Linked DNA regions of Arabidopsis thaliana. The protein of the gene in region 3 interacts with the protein of the main gene of each other region in a pairwise test. Each region holds a gene or a part of one and is shown on either strand. Other genes may lie near its edges.

Region 1 (4,793 bases), on a different chromosome or scaffold from region 3:
AGTCTTTGATTTAGCATACAAGACTCTGCATCTGTTTCAAGGGAGATGTCTCTGTTTAAGCATAATCTGTTTCATCCGAGTTTTCTTGATATCTCAAGCTGTTTTCTCTTACCCATTATAAAAAAAATTTGGTAGAATGAGCTTAACTTTGTAGAAAACCATCATATTCAAAGCTTCTGTTTTCTTCCACTTTGTCGCCTAAAAATTGCAACTTGTTACGGATGCAGGATGCTGCAGTACAACCTTCTCTGGTCATTGTCTATTTTGGAGGAAACGACTCAATGGCGCCTCACTCGTCTGGACTAGGACCTCATGTACCACTTACTGAATATGTTGATAACATGAAGAAGATCGCTCTTCATCTTCAGGTTTATACTTCCTTTATAATTGTTAGATTTATTATTTATCTCCTGTCAGTCACGTTTAAAAGCCATTTCAAGTGCTAATTTCTTCCTCTATTTTCTGTTTCAGAGCCTTTCAGACTTCACCCGAATCATATTTCTTAGTTCTCCTCCAGTGGATGAGGCTAAAGTTCGCCAGAACCAAAGGTAACTTCCCTGAATTTCTTCACTATCTCTCTGTTTCTCCTTATTCTCTCCGGCCTTATTAATATAGATGTGCTTCTTTTTCTCTCACAAGCCCATACTTGAGCGAGGTAATCCGCACAAACGACCTCTGCAAGACTTATTCAGATGCTTGTGTAGAGCTGTGCCAAGAACTCGGCCTAGAAGTAGTTGATCTCTTCTCTACTTTTCAGAAAGCAGATGACTGGAAAACTGTTTGCTTCACGTAAGTATTTTTTGAGTTCTGAAGAAATATAGAGAGACCTTTGATATATATGACTTTCTCAGAGTTTCCAAATGCGATAACCGGGAATGGAGTATCGACGATGTTCATTGAAATGTTTTAACGGTATAGTCTGGTTTGTTACAGAGACGGGATTCATTTGTCAGCACAAGGAAGCAAAATAGTAGCGGGAGAGATACTAAGAGTGGTTAAAGAAGCGGAATGGCATCCATCACTTCACTGGAAATCAATGCCAACAGAATTCGCAGATGACTCTCCTTATGATCTTGTATCAGCAGATGGCAAACAGACAGTAAATTCTTCAGAATGGACTTATTTCTGGGAAGAACAATGGGACTAAACATTTCAACACACACAACAACAACAACAAGACCCTATCTTCACATAATTCACTGTCTTAATGTGATAAAGCTTTGCTTTAGATTGTTTACATTACAAGTGTCTCTGCTATAATCTGATTCAGTTTCGCTCGAAAAACGTTACCATTTTAAAGTTTATACTTATCTAAATCTTAAATCACAGAAACACACCAAGTTTGTGTTCAAGTAATTTCTTTTTTTCTTGTTTACATTTTACAGACATTAACAAATGTCTGAAACTCATCACATAACACTCCTCCAGACAGGGGTTTAGTGTTTTGAAGGTAAAATCACAAAGTAACTAAATTTGGGCCGATAACAAAAAAGTCGCTTAGGAGATTGGACTTATTTGGGCCTAAAACCTAACACTTAAGGGCCCAACTAAAATGCCATTTACCTAAAAAGCGACGCATCTTCGTCTACTACCAAACCTTTTCGCTGACGCAACCAAACTCCCAAAAATAAAAATAAAGTTTTTATTTTCTCTCTCTCTCTTATTTTTCTTCTCCTTCTTGTTCCGTCTGCTTCTCTCCATCTCCTTCCATATCTATTGTTCTCTCTCTCTTCATGCCCGAACGCATCGGGTCTCAAAAACCATTGATACAGACATCGATCCTTGTCAACTAGTACTGATCTATAAATCTTATAAAAATCTGTAGAGATATGGCCGCCGCAGCCGTTTCCTCTAACCCTCGCACCGTTGAAGAGATCTTCAAAGATTATTCCGCTCGTCGTGCCGCTCTTCTTCGTGCTCTCACTAAAGGTCTAAATCCTCTCTCTCTCTCTTTCTCTAAATTTCCCAGATTTCTTCGTAATGCCTTTGGATTCGTCCTTTAACTTGTTCGTTTTTGTGATTTTTTCCAGATGTTGATGATTTTTACTCTCAATGCGATCCGGGTATGAAAGATTTCGACTTTTAGATACCCTTTTATGTGTTTTATTGAGATTTGATTTCAATTTTTGGGTGTTTGTGGTTATAGAAAAGGAGAATTTGTGTTTGTACGGACACCCTAATGAGTCATGGGAAGTGAATCTACCAGCAGAGGAAGTGCCTCCGGAGCTACCTGAGCCTGCTCTTGGTATCAATTTCGCTAGAGATGGTATGCAGAGGAAAGATTGGCTTTCTCTTGTTGCTGTTCACAGTGATTGTTGGTTGCTCTCTGTTTCTTTCTACTTTGGAGCCCGTCTTAATCGCAATGAGAGGTATTTCTCTTTTTCCCAACATTTTGATTCTGCATTCTCATTGTTTTGTGTTTTCTTAAGCCATGTCTCCAACTTTTACTTGATTTCAATGGATTCTGTGTTGTTCTTACATGAAACCCCATAGTTGTTTTCCATCCTGGCTCTTCTCATGTGAAGTAAAAATTGAAACTTTGTGATGATGATGGAGTTCGTTTGGAATGAGATTGTCTTTGAATTTGCGTGAAATGAGTTTTGTTTTGTTTTGTTTTTTTCGCTATTCGTCATTCATATCTATGGAGTATTGTTTGTTGCATGACTTCATCTGTCTAAACTTTTTCTCAGCTCTTTTGGATATTGTAATGGCTAAACTTGAAACTTGATTATCCTCCCTAATTTTAAAAGCCTGGTATTTGCTATTCTATGAAATCTGAAAACGGATATTCTGTGGTCGCATGTGCTGAATTTCACCATTTCATTGTTACATCTGAACACCCATCTTAGTAACTATGGAATCCAAAGAACTTTACTGACAAAGGTTTTGTGAAAGTTAAATTTTGACAAAAAAAATTGCTATTTGATTAGTACTAATGAGATCATTTTACTGTCTGTCTGTCATATATTCTAGAAAACAATGTTATTTTGGTTATTATCTGTTTCATTGTTCTTCAAGAGAGAAGTAGTTGTTGGCATTTAGATAGGTTTCAATTAAAGGTGCAAGAAACTGGACTTTGTTTTCTCAACCAGTAGTTTCACTATACCATTAACAAGTCTCTAAAGTGATCCTCTACCATTTTAGTCCTCTATCTTATTTACACTAGACTAGTAAAAAGCATTTCGTAAGATGCATTTCCAAGGATAGAGAATTTAACCCGACAGAGCTGCAAACAAATAATGCTAGATAAAACATCACAATTGTGTGTTGTACTGATATGAAGATTCTGGTTCGTTTTTCCTCACTTTCGCTTGCTAATCTAGTTCTTAGCTTATCTTAGCTGCCTTTTTCAATGTGTTGTCCACTCATGGAGTTATATTATTCTTTTGATTTGCAGGAAGCGGTTATTCAGTCTGATCAACGATCTCCCAACTCTCTTCGATGTAGTGACTGGTAGGAAAGCCATGAAAGACAACAAGCCAAGCTCGGACTCAGGAAGCAAATCCAGAAATGGCACTAAGGTACACAAAATAAGGAGCCTCCTTTCTTCTTTTTTGTTATCTGGTTTCCCTCTTTGAAATCAAAAATCGTAATTAGCAGAGATCAATAGACGGGCAGACAAAGAGCTCAACACCGAAACTAATGGAAGAGAGCTATGAGGAGGAGGAAGAAGAAGACGAGCATGGAGACACTCTCTGTGGAAGCTGTGGAGGTCATTACACAAATGAGGAGTTCTGGATTTGCTGTGATGTTTGTGAACGTTGGTACCATGGAAAATGCGTCAAGATAACTCCGGCTAAAGCAGAGAGCATCAAGCAGTATAAATGCCCGCCTTGCTGTGCAAAGAAAGGAAGACAGTGATGCTGATCAATTGATGATGATGATGATGATGATCTCTCAGAGAGACTCTGGTTCTCATGTTTTAATCAATATGTTAATCAACTTTTTTTCTTTTCTTCTCTTTTTTTCTTTAACCTTCTTAATTTTAAAGCATACAAAACTCTCTCTTTAGATCTCAAGAAAGGGATTTCAAGAAGTTGAGGGAGAGAGTAGCAAACTGTTTGAATAATATTATTATTATTCATATTAAAAAAAAAAAAACTGGGTTGTGTCATCAATTGTGTTGTGTCATGGGGTTTGTATATGTTAGACTTAGTCAAATCTTTAAGCTTCGAACCGAATTTTGAACAAATATGTTTTTAATCTTCTGTTAGGTCTTTTATCTGTCTTAAGATATTGTTTTTCATAATTTTAAAGAATATTATTATCCAATATTATGTGATATGTCAAAGTGATAGTCTTCTCATTTGGCCGGAATTGTAAAGAGCCAACATGTTTTCCAAGTTCTAAAGGGCAAGTAAATGTGATCGCAAGCCTTAGAATTGGTAAGTTTTATAATTAACCATCAAGATTGTCACAAATCATCTCTAAATCCAAATCTAAATTTTTCAATCAAATTTGCGACAATAATCAAATATTTTTATTTTTTAAAAAAAAAAATACTATTTATTTAGCATCATACTCAATAAGAAATTCATGAAATGTTAATAGTTGACAATCGACTGAATTTAACTAAATTTTAAACTCATCGACTGAATATTTATTCGACGATAATGATTTGTAGCCTAGTGTTTTGGTTTGTGCTAATTAATGCATGTTGATGATAATAATAATAACAATGATCAATATTCAAAATCAATACAAATCAATTTATAAATGTGATCATGCATGTATGTAATATCAAGAAGGGCGATCCCAAGTAAAGCCAGCATGAAGATCACAAATTCACAATA
Region 2 (4,346 bases), on a different chromosome or scaffold from region 3:
GAAACCCAAGAGAAAGAAGAAAAGCCATCACGAGATAAAGAACGGGCTACCACAGAACGTGACTGGTCTGAGAACAGTGGTGACAGAAGACACAAGAGTCACCGTGAAGAGAAAGATAGTCACCGTGAGTATAAGCAGCAGAGAGACCGTGATTCTGATGAGTTTGATAGAGGACAATCTAGCTTGAAATCTCGAAGCAGATCAAGAATGTCCGAAGATGATCATAGATCCAGGTCAAGAGATGCAGACTATGGAAAGAGGAGACGAGGTGACTGAGAAAGAACCTCCCATGTTCTTCGTCTCTTTAGATGCCATTTTAAGTTACTCTCTACTATATCTATCTCTTTATATCATCAAAATATTGGATACAATGTTTCTCTATACTTTATTTACTGATAGTCAGTCTTTGGAGACTAGCATATATATATGTAAACTATGTTTTGTTTTATTGATGGTTCTATTTGTTATTGTCAATCATTACAGCTTCTAGAATGTCGTTTGGTTAAGATGAAATGAGATCTTTATTCTTTGCTGCATTCAAGCTTTTTTTTTTTCTCGCAATTTGACAATTATTAAGTATGTAAAAACTGAGAGCTTTGGCATTTGCATCATATCATCCAAAAGCCTTAACACAGTTTTACATTCTATACAATACATTTACCATCTAAAAATCTGTACAAAGTTTTGTTTGTCCAGATTCTATAGCAGATTTGAGTACTCATAGTAAACCACAAAGAGAGCTTCTGGGTAATCCTTGGGAAGGCTATTGATGTAGAGATAGAATCTGAACAAATCTTCCCTTGAAGCCGTCCTTGTATCCACCACATCGTTATCACCCGCAAGCACCCACAAGTCCTCTGAGTTCACTCTCTTCATGCTGCCTCGACAAAACGGGCATGACTGAGACTTCAAGTTCCTGCAGATTTGAGAATCAACGAGATTCAGTAAATGCATCAGGTCAAAAAGGTCTAAAAACTAAAAAGTGTGTGTGTGTATATACCAATTGCGATAGCATTTGATGCACATAGAATGGCAACAATTAGGCAACACCATTTTGGTGCAAGTTTCTAAACAGATACCGCATTCTTCTTCACGCTCTAAACCGGCATTGCTGAATCTACTACTACGAGCCTCTTTTGTTATCTTCTTACTGAGTCTTTTAAGGTCAAACCCGATGTCTGTGGTTTCCAACTCATCTAAGTTGCTGTGTAATAGCTGCAGTGATGGTAGTATCACACCTATAAAACACAAAACATTAAGGACAAAGATGGAGACACAAACAGACTCATATTAATCATTCAACATCATTCCCATTGTAAATACCCGCAATGTCTCAATCGAAAACCTTTTAAAGGAATGACCATGTCCACAAAAAGCTTTAGCCAAAAACATGAATATTATAACATTAGTGATCGATTGTTACGGGTTTGCTTACCATAGAACTCACTAATCGTTGCTTTCCTTCCGTGCGTGGTAAGCTTAGGTTGTCCATCAGACTGGACCTATTCAAGCAAATATGACAACAAATTGAGAAATTTCAGCCACCAAAGAAAAAAAGCTTATAGTCAAGACATCGATATCCCCATTAAAAGATGGCATTTTGAGATCAAATAAGACTTAAAAAACTAACCTTGTAGACAAGAACATGAAAGAGGTTTAAGTAGCGAGGAATAAGACATGAGGAAGAAAGATCAATCCACCGGAGCAAGAAGAGTAATAATGAAGCAAAGTTACTATGAACCAGTTTCATCTGAAGCCGCACATTGTTCTTCCCCATTGGAATTGCTTCTGCCCTGAAAAGATATAAACCTCAAAGTTCTCATACACAATTCATCGAACACAACATGTGCAATAACAAAGTTTAGGGACCTTGAGCCAAAACAAAAACAAAAAAGCTACTAAATTTGCTTAAATTAGAATATCAAAACCAACAACAACTTTCCAGAATGTTCTATTTGTGAAAGCTTTCTAAAACTAAACTAAAAATTTATCGGAGTTTCCTAAAATAACCCAATTTTGATGAGAAGAGATTACACACAGAGAAGAGAATGACCTAAAATTATCATCTGGGTTTTCAATTTTTTCACTAACTATACTCTTATAGCTCAACTAATCAAACAATTTTAAACTAAAGTCTTAAACTTTAGAAGAAACCCAGAAAAAGGACTTACAAAGAATTAGCGTGTTGAACATCAGCTTCCAAAACCTTCAAAGATTCATAGTACGAAGAAGATGAAGAAGACGAAGATATCGCCAACTGATTATACATATCTCTCTCTCTAATTGTGAGATTACAACAAAGAGGAATCGATTGAAGAAAATTCCCAGAAATATAAGAAGAACGAAAGAGAATAAGATGCTAAAAGTGAAGGAGGGATTGGTCTGATTGATCGGAAAAAGGCAAGAACCTAAAAGACAAAACAAAGAAGCTATAAACACCGTAAGAACACAAGTCTCACTTCTTCTTCTCTCTCTCTCTCTCTTTGCTTTTTGCCTTTTTGATTCTTTGTTTCCGGTTGCTAGCTTTTTATTTATATATTAATCATGTTTGAAGAAAAATTCGTCTTCTTCTTAATGACAAAATTAATATGTTTTTTTCCTTGTTTAATAAGCTAATTAATTATAAACTTTGAGTTGAGATGGCTTTTTGTATGTGAATGAATATGAACTTTTTAATTATTTCAAAGTGAATGAATATAGGTTTAATAGTCGCTTTCATTCAAATTGTAACAGCTTTTGGAATAAATACCTAAAGTGAATATAGACAAAACAAAAACCCAAAGTGGAAGAACGCGTGTACTTTGCCTCACTAATAAAACATGTTTTCCGTAATTCAAGAATAAACCCAATATTATTCTATGGTCTAAAAGAAGACATGCGCACAAAAAATATAACTTAAGTTCAAAATTATTTGAATCGAAACTAAATTTAGTTTGTATAAAAGCCTACTTTGATCTTTTAATAATTTTATAACGAAATTAAGTATAAAGTTTGGTTATCTTTTGTTAACAAGTTCCTGACTTTAGGACTCATATAAAATTTTCTTGGTCAATAACAAATACTTTGTCAATACTAAACTGTTTTTCGAAATAACAAAGAGGTATCATCGGTGAAACAAACAAACTTAGGTTACCAAACTCAAATGCACAAAAAACTAATCTAAGTAAAAAAAAAAAGCATGTTGTAGTACCTATATATTCAGTTAAATTTTTAAATTATCCAATATTTTTAAATTTTATTATTACTGCTAAAAAATATTTTAATTCGATAAAACATTCCCTATACGAACAAATGGAAAAAGATTTAAAGTAAAATCAAATAGAGATGTTTTTTCGGGTAGCCAAAGAAAGCCAACTAACATATAACAAGTGGACACCACATCAACGAAACTACTCCCAACAAGGTCTATCCAACAAGATATATCAACACCGGATTGTCTTTATAGAGGCTTCAAAGAGACATGTATTAGTCATTTAATCTTCATATGGGTCTTACGAGTCCAACTCCTGGACACAACGTACATTCGCTAGCAAAGCATCTCAAACGTGCATAGAATTCTCTACGGGACAAACCAAACACCAACGAGCATTGAGAGACGCGTCGACCATGCAAAAGCACATCTCCAGACTCCAGACATACATGACACTCCACTCCACATAAGCTACTTGGACGGAATGACAACCATCGATGTCACGTCCCATCCACATAAACAACACTAAATAGACTACTATTTTACAGGTAGCGCAACCCAGTCAAACCACCATAAACCAAATCTACTAACTTCAAATTTATAAATAAAATAATAAATTCTACTAACTTGGATTATGCATGTGTCATCTTCAGTCATATCCTAGGAACGAAGCCGATAGAGAGTATGAAATCTATCAAAACCAAAAAGCCACAAGATGAAAAAGTGTTCAAAGATCGAACTTGAGAACCAAATTTGTCTGTACGACAGTGCTAAGAGACCTCTTATTGTGGAGATCTAGTCATTTTCCAAGTATGGATGCAAGCAAATAAAAAGTCTTCAAAAGGAGTAGTAGTAGTAGTAGGGTTTTTTATAGATAAGATATCAAACTTTGAAAATAAGTAACTTTCTGTAAGCACACGGATGTCTGTAAAAGATTTCGAGAGACTTTGTTAGGTGATCATATTTTACGAGACCGCGGAAACGGCGATGTGAGAGCAGGATCTTCTAATTCTTGCAAACCGCCACAGGTGTGGATGGCTCAACCATATATAGTTGTGTTTGAGTTTCCTTTTTTTCTCAAGATGATTGGTTGTATTAATTGAGATAAGTTAATCTTAATTCTATCCATGTAAAACAAGAAAATTTGTGGTGACAT
Region 3 (6,431 bases):
TCCGCTATTTCCTGTAAGTTTCTTCCTCACTGTGTGTCGAATCCGTCCTCAATGCTCAATTTTATCCATTTATTGTGAGACTGTGATTGATTTTGGTTTCCGTTGTTTTATCCAGCTAGTACAGTTTCTGGGTTTTCACCAAAAAGTGTACCTTTTGCTATTCATAGCGTAACCAGGAGGCAATTTCTTAATCCCAACACGTTTTATAGATTTGGGTTCTCTCCTTCTCTTCAGGTCAGATTCCTTTACTAGTCAGTATCATCCAATTCTCCAGACTCTGCTTCGTTGTTGTTTTGGTTCTTAGAATTAGACCACACTTCGTTGCTTCCCTTTGAAGTAGAGAGTCAATGTTTACTGTTATGTGCGGATATGTTGTGCAGGGAAGTAGCATTGAGTTTAGCCTTCAGTTGAATTCAAGAGTTGTGCTTAGTAAAGAGCGTCGATCTCTGCCATTAGTTGTGAGAAATGATCGTCCTCAGAATGAAGACTTACCTAAGCAGTACACAAGGCGAGAGAAGAAACCTTTCCCAGTCCCTATTGTGGACCTGAGACGAGCTGCGAGGGAGAGAGTCAAGAACAACAAAGACAAACCTAAGAGACCTCTACCTCCGCCTAAAAATGGTATGGTTGTGAAGAGCCTTGTGCCTCTTGCTTATAAAGTATACAATGCAAGAATCAGATTGATCAACAATCTCCACCGGCTTATGAAAGTTGTTCGTGTTAATGCTTGTGGGTAAAAATTCTCTTCTTCTTCTTGTTTCATTTTTGGTCTGTTTTGAGTATGGCCTTTTTTTGATGTTGTATGATTGGTCTCTTAGGTGGTGCAATGAGATTCATGTTGGACCTTATGGGCATCCATTTAAGTCGTGTAAAGGTCCCAATACTTCCCAAAGGAAAGGTCTTCATGAATGGACTAACTCGGTTATTGAGGACGTTATTGTTCCTCTTGAAGCCTATCACCTTTTTGACCGCCTTGGCAAGCGTATCCGTCATGATGAAAGATTCTCGATTCCCCGAGTTCCTGCTGTAGTTGAGCTCTGCATTCAGGGCGGCGTTGAAATACCCGAATTTCCAGCAAAAAGGAGAAGAAAACCGATTATCCGCATTGGCAAAAGCGAGTTTGTTGATGCAGATGAAACTGAATTGCCTGATCCAGAGCCTCAGCCTCCTCCAGTGCCATTGTTAACTGAGTTACCTGTCTCAGAGATCACTCCCCCATCTAGCGAAGAAGAAACAGTCTCCTTAGCCGAAGAAACATTACAGGCCTGGGAAGAAATGAGAGCAGGAGCCAAAAAGCTGATGAGGATGTACAGGGTTAGGGTCTGTGGGTACTGTCCAGAGGTTCACGTAGGTCCAACGGGACACAAGGCCCAGAACTGTGGTGCATTCAAGCACCAACAGCGGAATGGCCAGCATGGTTGGCAATCTGCAGTACTTGACGACTTGATACCGCCAAGATATGTTTGGCATGTTCCTGATGTGAATGGGCCACCGATGCAGCGAGAGCTACGAAGCTTCTACGGGCAAGCACCTGCTGTTGTGGAGATATGTGCTCAGGCTGGCGCTGTTGTACCTGAGCATTATAGAGCTACAATGAGACTGGAGGTTGGAATTCCTTCGAGTGTGAAAGAAGCTGAGATGGTTGTTTGATATGTAGAAGACCTTGTAAACTTCTTCTTGTACAAAATCCTCCATTCCACCTTGTGTTGTATAATAATATCACAGCCCAGGTCTTTTTGACTTTTGAAGGACAAAAAAAACAATCCACGCTAATCCTATTATCAAGGGTAAAAATGTCATTTGCTTCGTTTTCATCTTTTCTCGTTGCCATTTTCTTTTTTTTGTCTGTGTCAAGTCGATACCACTTGTCTGGTAGCTTTATACCCACTTTCATCTTTTTCATGTTCGTAGTTGTTCCTCTGGTTATCCTCATCAACGGGACCCTTGAAACCGTGTAGCCATGTAAGCCTTTGTCTTTGTCTCTTTCTCTTGCTTCAGCAAGTTCACGTCTGCTCTATTTCTAATTTTGTTCTAAGATTCAATTCTCCTTTTTTCTATGCGAGAAATTTAAGATTGGTTCTCTAGCTCTACCTCTTTAAATTTGTTACTATGTGTCGGTGTCCATCATTCATCAAATTTTTTCCTTTTTTATCCATTTGAGTTGATGTAATGATGTTGCTTCGCTTCATACTGGTCAGAGTTAGTCTAATCTTCATTTTAGCACAACTTGACAACTTCATATGGTTATGACTTATTTTTACTTGGGTCTTTCAAAGGTTAAGTATTTTAGTCTTATTTTGGGATGATGCAGCTTGCTTAATGATTAGAGTCTTAAAGCTGTGCTCTTTCTTCATCGATTTGAGCAAGTGATCTTGGAAGGCTCTTGAGTTCTGAATTCCTTGTAAGCAATCATGGCAGGGAAAAGAGAAAACTTTGTGAGGTTAGTGCTGCATCCTTTTGTTTTAATACAAAGATCTGAAGTTTGAATGTGAGAAACGTATTGATTTGGCAATGGTTGTTTCTGATTTGTTTCCTTATGAAAGTATAGTGTGATTGTACTGAACTATAGCTTGTTGGTGCATAGTAATCTGAAAGTGGTGTTGTTCATACCTTTTATAGGGTGGATGATTTGGACTCTAGGTTACCATCATCATCTGTAGCCTTCCAACAGAACTACGCCTCCAATTTCAGTGGACAACTTCATCCTATTCATGCAAGCAATGAAACTTCTAGATCCTTCAAGAAAGGTATCCAGAAGGGTTCCAAAGGGCTTAAGTCGATCGGACGTTCACTTGGTTTCGGTGTTTATCGAGCAGTGTTCCCAGAAGACCTTAAAGTATCTGAAAAGAAGATATTTGATCCTCAGGATAAATTCCTTTTGTATTGCAATAAATTATTCGTTGCGTCATGTATTCTTTCAGTGTTTGTGGACCCTTTTTTCTTCTATCTTCCTGTGATTAATGCTGAGTCCAAGTGCCTGGGTATTGACAGAAAACTGGCTATCACAGCAAGTACATTGCGGACTTTTATCGATGTGTTTTATCTCGCTCACATGGCTCTCCAGCTTAGGACTGCTTATATTGCACCTTCATCACGGGTCTTTGGGCGAGGTGAACTCGTGATTGATCCTGCACAGATAGCAAAGAGATATCTACAACGTTGGTTTATTATTGACTTTCTCTCAGTACTTCCTCTCCCTCAGGTTGGTTAATATAAGTTTTGATCATTTCAGTAAATTGTGTGTTGGAAAACATCATTGCTTAATTTGTTGAAAGGGTGCAGTAGCCAGTAGTTGGTGATCAGACATCTCTGTCAAGCGCTTTCTAGTTCTAGATTTACAGTACTCATTTTGTGTATGTGCAGATTGTAGTTTGGAGGTTCTTGCAAAGTTCAAATGGGTCGGATGTATTGGCTACAAAGCAGGCCTTGCTTTTCATTGTTTTGGTCCAGTATATACCGCGATTCCTACGTGTCTTACCCTTGACGTCAGAATTGAAAAGGACAGCAGGTGTCTTTGCTGAAACGGCTTGGGCTGGTGCCGCTTATTATCTGCTTTTATATATGCTTGCAAGTCATGTGAGTTTATATACCTTTTTCATTTTAAGACGTTGCTTGTACTATTCAATGCTTGCCCATTCACCATGAGTTATGTGACTGTGGCACCAAAAGTGCAAAACAAGGAAATATTTGCATATCCGTTTCACTGTTATGAACTTATGTTCAAATGTTTAGTTTCCTAAGACATGTAAAGGAGCTTATTGAGCTTTCTGGTTAAGCCGTCTATGCTTACCTTTGATGTTCTATGCAACCTTTCGTTTTATCTTAGTTGATGTTCATGCCTCATGGGATCACAAATGTCAAGTTTCTTATGACGAGCAACTCTGATTGTATAGCTTATTTACTCTTCAATAATAGTATTGACTTGGTAAGTGCTATTTTGATTGAGCCACTGTTTCGTATCTTGCAGATAGTTGGAGCTTTTTGGTACCTTTTAGCCTTAGAACGTAACGACGCCTGCTGGCAGGAGGCCTGTATAGATGCAGGGAATTGCAGCACAGATTTCTTGTACTGTGGCAATCAAAACATGGACGGCTATGCTGTTTGGAACAGAGCCAAGGAATCTGTTCTTAAGTCCAAGTGCCGAGCTGACCTCGATGATAATAATCCTCCATTTGACTTTGGGATTTATACACAGGCTTTATCGTCTGGAATTGTCTCGTCCCAAAACTTCATCGTAAAATATTGTTATTGTTTGTGGTGGGGCCTTCAGAACTTGAGGTAACCATGTTCTATCACTATTCAGTCGAAAGACTATTGCTTTGATCTTACCAATTCTCACTAAACTCGGCTCCTTTATCAAAGTTATGCGTCTATGAGTTTCAGATATTCATATAGTACTTCTCATTGTTGCACCACAGTACACTTGGACAAGGGCTTGAAACCAGTACATACCCAATGGAGATTATATTTTCCATATCTCTCGCCATTTCTGGGTTGATCCTCTTTGCTCTTCTCATTGGAAACATGCAGGTGAGTAATTATGGTGCAACCTTAGCTACTTTCGTGATCATTAGAAATTTCTTGTAAGCTCTTTCAATGGAAGCATCATGCATAATTTGTTTCCTCTGCATAATGACTATCTAACAACATTTTGCAATCTTGGGACAGACATATCTCCAATCTCTTACCATCCGGCTTGAAGAAATGAGAGTAAAGAGGCGTGATTCAGAACAATGGATGCATCACAGAATGTTACCACAAGATCTTAGGGAGCGTGTGAGGCGCTATGACCAGTATAAATGGTTGGAGACACGTGGTGTAGATGAAGAGTATCTCGTTCAGAATCTTCCCAAGGATCTCCGGAGAGACATCAAGCGGCATCTCTGTCTGGCTTTAGTGCGAAGGGTAAGTTCTCCCCGCTGTTCCTTATTCAAGCTTCTCACATAGATCACACACCCTTTTGAACATCTAGGACCCATTGAATAACAGTCGGCTCATAACTAAAACGAGCTCTTGACCATCGACAAGCTAGCTTGGTTCATGATACGTTTTTACCATAATATTAGGTTCCATTGTTTAAGAGCATGGACGACAAGCTGCTGGATGCGATCTGTATGCGGCTGAAACCATGCTTGTTCACAGAGAGTACCTACTTAGTGCGGGAAGGAGATCCTGTAGACGAGATGCTATTCATAATACGTGGTCGCCTCGAGAGTGTGACAACAGATGGAGGCAGGAGCGGTTTCTTCAACCGCAGTCTCCTGAAAGAAGGAGAATTCTGCGGGGAAGAGCTTCTGACATGGGCATTGGATCCAAAATCAGGTGTAAATCTCCCGTCTTCCACGAGGACCGTGAAAGCTCTGACAGAAGTAGAGGCGTTTGCGCTGACCTCAGAGGAGCTGAAGTTTGTAGCAAGCCAGTTCCGGCGCTTACATAGCAGGCAAGTGCAGCACACATTCAGGTTTTACTCTCACCAATGGAGGACTTGGGCTGCTTGTTTCATCCAGGCTGCCTGGCGTAGATACTGCAAGAGGAAGAAAATGGAAGAGGCAGAAGCCGAGGCCGCGGCTGTGTCCAGCTCAACCGCTGGACCTTCATACTCCATTGGGGCTGCATTTCTTGCCACTAAGTTTGCGGCTAATGCGCTTCGCACCATTCACAGGAACCGGAACACAAAGATTAGGGATTTGGTGAAGCTGCAGAAGCCTCCTGAGCCTGATTTCACTGCTGACTGATGATTGAGCAGCTTGTAGACATTATTGTTTATAATTTATGGGAATCATTACGGTTGAGATAAACAAATATTGCTTGGCTTTAAAGCTGCTTGTGCTGTCTGTAAAATTAATATATGAAGTGTAGAAACAAAGAGATTATAGCCGTTGGATTTAATAAATGTACGGTTAGGATCATATGCCGGTTAAAGAATGGGTCTATTGGGCCTTTTAATGAAGCCCACAATATATTCACGGTGACATGCTCCGGTCCCAAGGTAGAGAGAAGTTGCGATTGATTTCGGTGAAAGAATTAAGAATCGATCGGACTTGGAGAAGAGAAGAGAAGATGGTTGGCGCGAATCTGAAAGCGGAGACGATGGCTCTAATGGACAAGAGAACAGCCATGGAGACGGAGATGAACTCTATTGTCGAACGTCTCTGCAATCCCGGTGGTCCTGGTCTCTCCGGCAATCTCATCGACTCGGAGGTACTGTATCTGCGTCCTCACTCTTCTCTAATCTTAACCGAAAATTCTGCTTAATTTTCTCCTTTGATTCGTTTGCTTATGGCAGGGATTTCCTCGGGAAGATATTGACATTCCCATGGTGAGAACTGAGCGCCGTCGTCTTGCTGGTGATTTCTCTTTTCTTGTGCTGAATTAGTCCATAGTTAGGGTGAGACTACAACTCCAAGGTTAGTTTAAACTTAGGAAACATA
Region 4 (7,537 bases), on a different chromosome or scaffold from region 3:
TGAAGACCAAGAGATATGGTAACGAGAAAGTGTTTAGAATGGTCTTAGAGATGCAAATATGTGTCGCTTTTGTCGCCTCGGTTGTTTGTCTCGTGGGCTTGTTTGCGAGTGACGAGTATAAGGAACTGAAAGGCGATAGCAAGAGGTTTAAGAAAGGGGAAACGTATTACGTTCTGAGTTTGGTCGGGTTGGCTTTGTCGTGGCAGGTTTGGGCGGTCGGGATGATAGGTTTGGTGCATTATGTTTCGGGTCTTTTTGGTGATGTTGTTCATATGTGTGCTTCACCATTTGTGGCTTTGTTTGTTGTCTTGGCATTTGATTTTATGGATGATGTGTTTAGTTGGCCTAGAATTGGTGCTTTGATAGGAACAGTTTTGGCGTTAGGATCTTACTTCTACACTCTGCACAAGAGAAACAAGAAGAAGATGGCGGAACTTAACCAAAGTGAGAACAATGTTGAAGTTTAGTTTCTCATGTCAAGTGTTTGTCAATCTGTTCTTGTTATTCTGATTCTTGTAAGTCAATGTCCAAAATATGTTGTATAGATATGGATCAAACTATGTAATTTATTTATTAGTTGGTTTAGTTTGATTTTTTTCTTTTCTCTGTTTTGCATTTATTTGTTACAATACTTTGCTAGAGGAGTGAATCCCTATATATTTCTCAAGTAGACTTGATTGTTAACATCTATGGGGCATCGAGACACCAATAAAGCCACATCCCACTTGATGATATAAGCTGCACCAAGCTCTTATGCCTTTAGGCTCGTACCTTTCCTATATAGAATGCAACGTAAACGTCTTCCCCAAGCAACTCAAATCCAGAGGCTGATGAGAAGAAGTCTTTTATATGCTTATTTGTTTTGTATATCTTCCATGGGTGATCATTCCTCTGCAAGTGGTTTATTACGTCGATGAAAGCCAGAAATATACCAATAGGCCATGCACATTTCGGTTACAGAAGTGGCACTCTTCATATTACTAGCTGGAGAAGAAAGGTTTTCGATAGAGCTTAACGGAAATGGTAAAGTATGGTATGAGATAGAGATAATGTTATCACATTTCTTGTCACTCCTCCAATATCCTTAATATAAAGAAAGTAGCTCTAGCCTAAACAAGATTCAGAGAAACCTAGGAACAAACATTTGGAAACAACTCTGCTCAGAACCAAACATCATCAAAGTACTACCATCGTCTAGCTTAAACACCTTAACCTCTACTTCCTTTTCATGGACAAAGTATATAGAATTCGGTACGCATCAATAGTACTCATGAGCCATAACCGAGAAACAAGTATCAGTCGCCATCACAACCGCACTATCTCTCAAGGACTTAACTTCAACCCACTTCCCTAATTCCTCATCAACCTTATAAACATTGAAACCAACCATTTTGGGACATTCTATTTCCACCTCTTGGTCCACATTGCATTTTTCATTCCCAAAATCGTCATGTATCACATTAGAAATCCGAGGAGCTACACCAACATAAACATTATCATCCAAGTCCAAGTAATCAGCTTTTCTTTTCAAGACATTCTCTTTAAAAAGACGATCAACAATATAAAGCTCTCCACAACATGCAACCAAGCTTAAGTCTCCACCACATTCATTAGTAAGTGAAGTTCCATACCTAACGATACTAATCCACCAAACAATGCCTTTCGTATCCAACACGTAAATTAGCTCTTTGAGAACAATAATATCAGAGAATTCACCAATCTGATCTTTGATTCTAGTCCAAATCTCTCCATTCCAAAACCTAATCTTCCCATCAAACCCTATTCCAAAAACTCGATCTCCTCCCGCAAGAACAACTTTCTTAAACCCAAAAGCAATGGACCATTTCGGTTTAACAATAGATGTGATTTGGTTTAGCTTATCAATTAATTTTTTTATTTTATTTTAAAATAAATATATATTTTAATTCTTTTATAAATCTCTGATTGGTTGGTTAATTAATTGTTTGTATTTCCCTTTTACGAATTTAAATAAAGTAGATGTTACAAAAGAAAATGAAAATCTCTGAAAAACTCTCCTGATTCAAAAGAGTAAGAAATCTACAAAAGAAAACCACAGAGAAAATCTCTACTGATCAGTTTCTCTCCATTGGTGATCGCTCGTCAGAAAAATTGAGCTCGATTTTGTATAAATTGAAGAAAAAGAAGAAGATCATCAAATGCGTGATTTTTACTTTTCCGTTCAAGGTAAATCGATCATCTTCGGCTTCAAGCCTGAAGATAGCGCTTCGAATTGGTTGAATTGTGTAATTTTGGAGGAAGTTAAGGTTCTTGCAGTAACAACTGCTTTACTGATTTTTCTGGTTTTTTTTGTAATTGTAGAAACTGAGTTTAAGGACAAGCTTTGTCCCTTTTAGTGGAATTTAGATCTGGTTTTGTCGTAATTTCTTCTGGGTTTCAATTCTAGTCTTCTGTAGTAGTATCAGTGTTGTGTTATCACCCACTATTTCAAAGTTTCAATGAAATTTTAATACCAAGTTGTTGACTTTTCTGTGTTTCTATCTGATCATAATTAACTTCGGAAGAAATTATTGTGACCTCAGAAAATTAGGTAGCTGATTTGATTCTTTTGTTTTCTCAATTATTCTCTTGTTAATTTCATTGTTCACATAGAAATGGTTCATATTTTCTGCTAATATGTTTCCTCTTTCATTTCAATTCACCATATTTCTTCTTTGTAGTGATTGATCAAGGGAACATAAGCAGCTAGAGACCACACCACTCAGTTATTTCTATCTCATAGTGCTTGTGGATGTTCAAGCTATAAGAATGTGCTCGGTGGTTCTATGAATATATAGGTATTATGCGTTATGTTTGGTTTGTAGAATATATTCTGAGAAGGTGATAGGATGGTCGATTTGCTAACTTTATGTCACTTCTGAAAGTGAGTTTGCATGTTTCTCTTTTCTCTTAAATCTGCTTTAAGTGTTAAGATATTTTGTTTTGAATATATTTGGAAAAACCAGTGACTTTGGTATTCTGTTAGCATGTTCCAACGATCTAAATTCTGTGGGTATATACTCTGGTAATTGCTTATACTGTTTTTGCTTTATGAAAACGATTTTAATATTCTACTAGGAAGATTGGTGTTTTGATGGGATGGGACACCAAATTGCTAAGGTTTATGGTGTTATCAATTACTAGTACGTGTTATCTTCCGAACAACCACCACCATGGAATCTCATCTGGGAAATGGAGTAGGCAGTTCGAGATCTGCCAAAAATACAAAGAACACTTCTAGTTCAGTTGATTGGTTGAGCAGAGATATGCTTGAGATGAAGATAAGGGACAAGACAGAGGCTGATGAGGAGAGAGTAAGTTTTGCATCTCCTTTCTTAGGTCTTTATTTCTTTGTGAACTTCTTTAGCTTATCTTCCTTCTCATGCGCCCCTCTATTTGATGAAGTAGTTTACTTGAATTTGATGTTTTTGCCATGTTGCAGGACAGTGAACCAGATATCATTGATGGAGTTGGTGCAGAACCTGGCCATGTGATCACAACTACACTCCCTGGACGAAATGGTCAATCAAGACAGGTTAGATGGTCATAGAAACTGTGTGTCTAGATTGTTAGTGAGACGTACTGATTCTTATACAACTGTTTTTAATTTTGATTGACAGACAGTCAGTTACATAGCAGAACACGTAGTCGGGACTGGTTCATTCGGAATGGTTTTCCAAGTGAGTAAGATTGTCTATCTTGTTGTTTTACCATTGGTTAAGATTCCCAAACATTTTATGTCTCCTTGTGGTAGGCTAAATGCAGAGAAACTGGGGAGGTTGTTGCCATCAAAAAAGTTCTACAAGACAAGCGTTACAAGAACAGAGAATTACAAATTATGCAGATGCTAGACCATCCGAATGTTGTTTGTTTAAAGCATAGCTTCTATTCAAGAACAGAAAATGAAGAGGTTTATCTAAATCTTGTCCTTGAGTTTGTTCCCGAGACTGTCAATCGTACTGCCAGAAGCTACAGTAGAATGAACCAGCTGATGCCATTGATATATGTCAAACTCTACACTTACCAGGTGATTATTTCCTGTTTCTGATCTTTTTTTGTTTCTCTTTATGTAAGCGTCATAAGTAATCACTCAAAATTTAAGCTATATTCAGTTTCTTGATATGTGTCAGCTGGTTTCTTGTGGTTCATTCCATAATGGATGTTGGAGATTTCCTCTTGTTTTGCTAGATAGATTGTAAACCAGAAGGCAAAGTTCCTATCATTTCTGATACTATTGTACTTTTCCGTTAGAAGTTGGAACTATTGAACATAATTGATTGTCTCTATATAAAAGAAGTAGTGCTCAAACGTTTGTTGAACACTTAAGTGTGAATCGGGCCTGATAATTTGTTGGACATTCTCCAATGATTTTTGAGGATTTTATGTTAATGGCTACAGATTTGCAGGGGGCTTGCTTACCTTCATAATTGCTGTGGTCTTTGTCACCGTGATATAAAGCCCCAAAACCTGCTAGTAAGTTCCAATTTTTTCTCACTGAAAAGAAGTTGATGATAGATTTCACTTTCCTGTAAGCTACTTTTGTTTGAATTTTTTTTATATAGCAAGGTCTTTGTCACCACACATAAGGATTTTAAAGGCATTTGTGTACATAAATATCAGACAGTGTTCTTTAATTCTACAAATTTGATCATTATATAGTAATGACATGATGATATTTCGTTATTACATGCCTGGTGGGATTAAGCAATGAGGTTATGTATGCATCTCGCTAATGTTTATTTCAACCTCAGAGTGGTACTGGGCTTCTGTTCTGTAGTTAATTTCACTTGCTATTTGTTCAAGTAGGATGTTAAAATCTAACTTTTCGGAAAATAGTTTTGGTTTTTAGCTGGTCTGTTCGTTGGTTTAAATATTTAGAATCCTATTTTCTTGTGATTTCACAAGGATTGAACTTGTTCCATACTGTTTCAGCTGTTAGGCTCACCATACCTGCAATTGACTAGAATTTGTCATAAACAAATGTTGCCTTGTTTTTATTAAACAATCTTTTATTTTTTTCTTTACACCTATTGTGATGTGCAGGTGAATCCACACACACATCAGCTGAAAATTTGTGATTTTGGGAGTGCAAAAGTGTTGGTAAAGTTTATCAGCTATAGCTCTTAGTGGTTTAGTTTTCCTAGTCCATGCTTAGATTATGACGTGTCATGGTCCACAGGTGAAAGGAGAACCCAATATTTCTTACATTTGTTCAAGATACTATCGTGCCCCAGAGCTCATTTTTGGAGCCACCGAGTACACAACTGCAATAGACATATGGTCCACAGGTTGTGTGATGGCTGAACTGCTGCTTGGACAGGTTGGAGCACTATATTTGCATTAGCTATATGCTTGTTATTCTATTTCTTCACCCTCTTACTCATTTTTGCTCTCGCGGACTTGTTTTACAGCCTCTGTTTCCTGGCGAAAGTGGAGTCGATCAACTTGTTGAAATCATAAAGGTAGTATTTTTGCTATCAATTCTTTTAGGGTTAGTTGTATTTACAAAGAAAATGACATCTTTAGAGCTGGCACTGACTAATAGTTTCTCACTGCTGATTATATTTTTTTTATAAAACTTTACCACCATTTTTGTAGTAGGACTCGTACATTCTCTCTTCATGGTTTTTTAATTGTCATGCAGGTTTTGGGTACACCAACAAGGGAGGAGATCAAATGCATGAATCCAAACTACACAGAATTTAAATTTCCTCAGATAAAACCTCATCCTTGGCACAAGGTATACCGCTAGTAGTATCAATTATCACCTAATAGGGTTCTCTTAATCGATATATGACCAAGCTTGTCTCGGTTTAGTGAGGTTGATTGAAGTATATGTGATCAATTAACTTCATATTTCATTCCTCTGGCATATAGAGCGATGTGACAGCTTTGCCTTTGTATATAAGATTCTTATACAAACAAATAAATTGAACCTTTGCCAAAAGGAATTACTCATGCACACACTCGTGGGGGTTGAAAACAGTTAGGCTTCATGATCTTGGCTTTTTTGCTGGTTTAAGTTTCTATCTAGATGAAGTTTTATTCAGCATTTTATACAGCTGACATTCCAGAACTCTGTTACTCGTTATTCTTATCTTTTGTTTTGCTCCGTGCTAAAATTTCTCTTAAGTGATCATTTCCTTGGTTTTACTTCTATATAGTCATGTTCTTACAGCACAAGAATCATGTGTTTGTTACTTTCAGGTATTCCAGAAACGTCTGCCACCTGAAGCAGTAGATCTTCTTTGTAGGTTCTTCCAGTATTCTCCTAATTTGAGATGTACAGCGGTAAATTATTCATAGCTTTTCTCTGACTTTGTTACATATTCTACTTCCATATTTTTTTTGGGATCAGCATCAGAAGCTAACCCATTATAAGTATGTCTTATGATTTTCTGATAGGTGGAAGCTTGTATCCACCCTTTCTTTGATGAGCTAAGAGACCCAAATGCTCGTCTGCCAAACGGCCGGCCACTTCCTCCGCTATTCAATTTTAAACCACAAGGTAAGGTTCTGTTATTTGCTTCTTCTTTTTTCCGTGTTAAATTCTTTATAAGGGAAGAAAATTAGTATGTGTTATTGATAAGCGTGTGTCCTACAGAACTCTCTGGTATCCCTCCTGAAACTGTGGACCGACTTGTCCCAGAACATGCCCGTAAGCAGAACCACTTCATGGCATTACACTCGTAAGTCTCTTCCGTGTTTTCTGTACGACCTATCGGGTGTTCTCTTCTTTTCTCTAAGCTCTCTAGATCCCAGTCTTTGGGAAAAACCAGTAGAGCTCTCTCTCTGTAAACAGAAATCACTGGAAAAAGAAGCAATGACTTTTGTATTAAGGTGCTTGCGCATCCCTTGTCGTGAAGTGAGGATGCGTAAAATACAACACTACTTTGTTAGATATATGATATAGAGGAACATACTTACATTTGCAAGACTCCTGCCACAACACAATTTTCCAAAAAATTTGTGAACCTTAAAATGAATTGACAGTTTAGTTTATTTGTCCATGTTTACGAACTTGATTTGAACCATATTACTCGAATTACACCAAACCAATTTATCTTCGAGTTAATTTCAAATAAGGCATTTGTTTTACAAAATAAGGCTTAAATATTGAAGGCCCAATAAGACCATGTACACAAAAAGCCTTTTAAACTAGTTTCACCTCTCTCTCCCATTTTTAGGGTTTCGTCAGAGACAGAAGTGAGAGAGGAGGAAAAATGCCGGCGGGACACGGAGTGAGGGCGAGAACAAGAGATCTGTTCGCGAGACCATTCAGGAAGAAGGGTTATATTCCACTCTCCACTTACCTCAGAACCTTCAAGGTCGGCGATTACGTCGATGTCAAGGTTAATGGAGCTATCCACAAGGGTATGCCTCATAAGTTCTACCATGGTCGTACTGGTCGCATCTGGAATGTCACTAAACGTGCCGTTGGTGTTGAAGTCAACAAACAGGTTTGATTACTCAAAACTTTTAATCTGTTTGAAAGAGTTTTTTGTTGTTGAAATTAGGG

Evidence for each region.
Region 1: the proteins of CNGC5 (region 3) and AL2 interact in a protein complementation assay, tested with the Arabidopsis thaliana proteins (one large-scale study listed by BioGRID).
Region 2: the proteins of CNGC5 (region 3) and AT1G13195 interact in a protein complementation assay, tested with the Arabidopsis thaliana proteins (one large-scale study listed by BioGRID).
Region 4: the proteins of CNGC5 (region 3) and SK42 interact in a protein complementation assay, tested with the Arabidopsis thaliana proteins (one large-scale study listed by BioGRID).

The regions. Positions count from the first base shown.
Region 1 is NC_003074.8:3,507,455-3,512,247, reverse strand, and holds AL2 (alfin-like 2), read left to right. Parts: upstream 1-1,589; 5' UTR 1,590-1,829; coding exon 1,830-1,929; exon of another isoform or gene 1,930-2,030; coding exon 2,031-2,063; coding exon of another isoform or gene 2,064-2,146; coding exon 2,147-2,369; intron 2,370-3,397; coding exon 3,398-3,521; intron 3,522-3,600; coding exon 3,601-3,861; 3' UTR 3,862-4,252; downstream 4,253-4,793. Other genes in the region: AT3G11210 (SGNH hydrolase-type esterase superfamily protein), read left to right, coding at 228-368, 472-548, 640-789, 934-1,147.
Region 2 is NC_003070.9:4,501,079-4,505,424, forward strand, and holds AT1G13195 (RING/U-box superfamily protein), read right to left. Parts: upstream 2,599-4,346; 5' UTR 2,270-2,598; coding exon 2,172-2,269; exon of another isoform or gene 1,794-2,171; coding exon 1,631-1,793; intron 1,503-1,630; coding exon 1,436-1,502; intron 1,239-1,435; coding exon 1,001-1,238; intron 917-1,000; coding exon 700-916; 3' UTR 503-699; downstream 1-502. Other genes in the region: AT1G13190 (RNA-binding (RRM/RBD/RNP motifs) family protein), read left to right, coding at 1-276.
Region 3 is NC_003076.8:23,454,705-23,461,135, forward strand, and holds CNGC5 (cyclic nucleotide gated channel 5), read left to right. Parts: upstream 1-1,860; 5' UTR 1,861-1,962; exon of another isoform or gene 1,963-2,193; intron 2,194-2,311; 5' UTR 2,312-2,411; coding exon 2,412-2,440; intron 2,441-2,619; coding exon 2,620-3,202; intron 3,203-3,363; coding exon 3,364-3,576; intron 3,577-3,967; coding exon 3,968-4,278; intron 4,279-4,418; coding exon 4,419-4,530; intron 4,531-4,668; coding exon 4,669-4,905; intron 4,906-5,066; coding exon 5,067-5,735; 3' UTR 5,736-5,917; downstream 5,918-6,431. Other genes in the region: APO2 (APO RNA-binding protein (DUF794)), read left to right, coding at 1-13, 116-234, 381-733, 819-1,650; AT5G57950 (26S proteasome regulatory subunit), read left to right, coding at 5,974-6,201, 6,287-6,347. UniProt on the Arabidopsis thaliana protein: Probable cyclic nucleotide-gated ion channel.
Region 4 is NC_003070.9:21,430,532-21,438,068, reverse strand, and holds SK42 (shaggy-like kinase 42), read left to right. Parts: upstream 1-1,965; 5' UTR 1,966-2,192; coding exon of another isoform or gene 2,193-2,232; exon of another isoform or gene 2,233-2,556; coding exon of another isoform or gene 2,557-2,642; exon of another isoform or gene 2,643-2,699; 5' UTR 2,700-2,816; intron 2,817-3,096; exon of another isoform or gene 3,097-3,100; 5' UTR 3,101-3,191; coding exon 3,192-3,332; intron 3,333-3,460; coding exon 3,461-3,553; intron 3,554-3,638; coding exon 3,639-3,698; intron 3,699-3,772; coding exon 3,773-4,045; intron 4,046-4,416; coding exon 4,417-4,491; intron 4,492-5,061; coding exon 5,062-5,118; intron 5,119-5,197; coding exon 5,198-5,338; intron 5,339-5,429; coding exon 5,430-5,480; intron 5,481-5,662; coding exon 5,663-5,758; intron 5,759-6,225; coding exon 6,226-6,309; intron 6,310-6,423; coding exon 6,424-6,526; intron 6,527-6,622; coding exon 6,623-6,707; coding exon of another isoform or gene 6,708-6,711; exon of another isoform or gene 6,712-6,858; coding exon 6,859-6,931; 3' UTR 6,932-7,018; downstream 7,019-7,537. Other genes in the region: PUP17 (purine permease 17), read left to right, coding at 1-467; AT1G57906 (F-box protein), read right to left, coding at 1,259-1,819, 2,193-2,232, 2,557-2,642; AT1G57860 (Translation protein SH3-like family protein), read left to right, coding at 7,242-7,478. UniProt on the Arabidopsis thaliana protein: May mediate extracellular signals to regulate transcription in differentiating cells.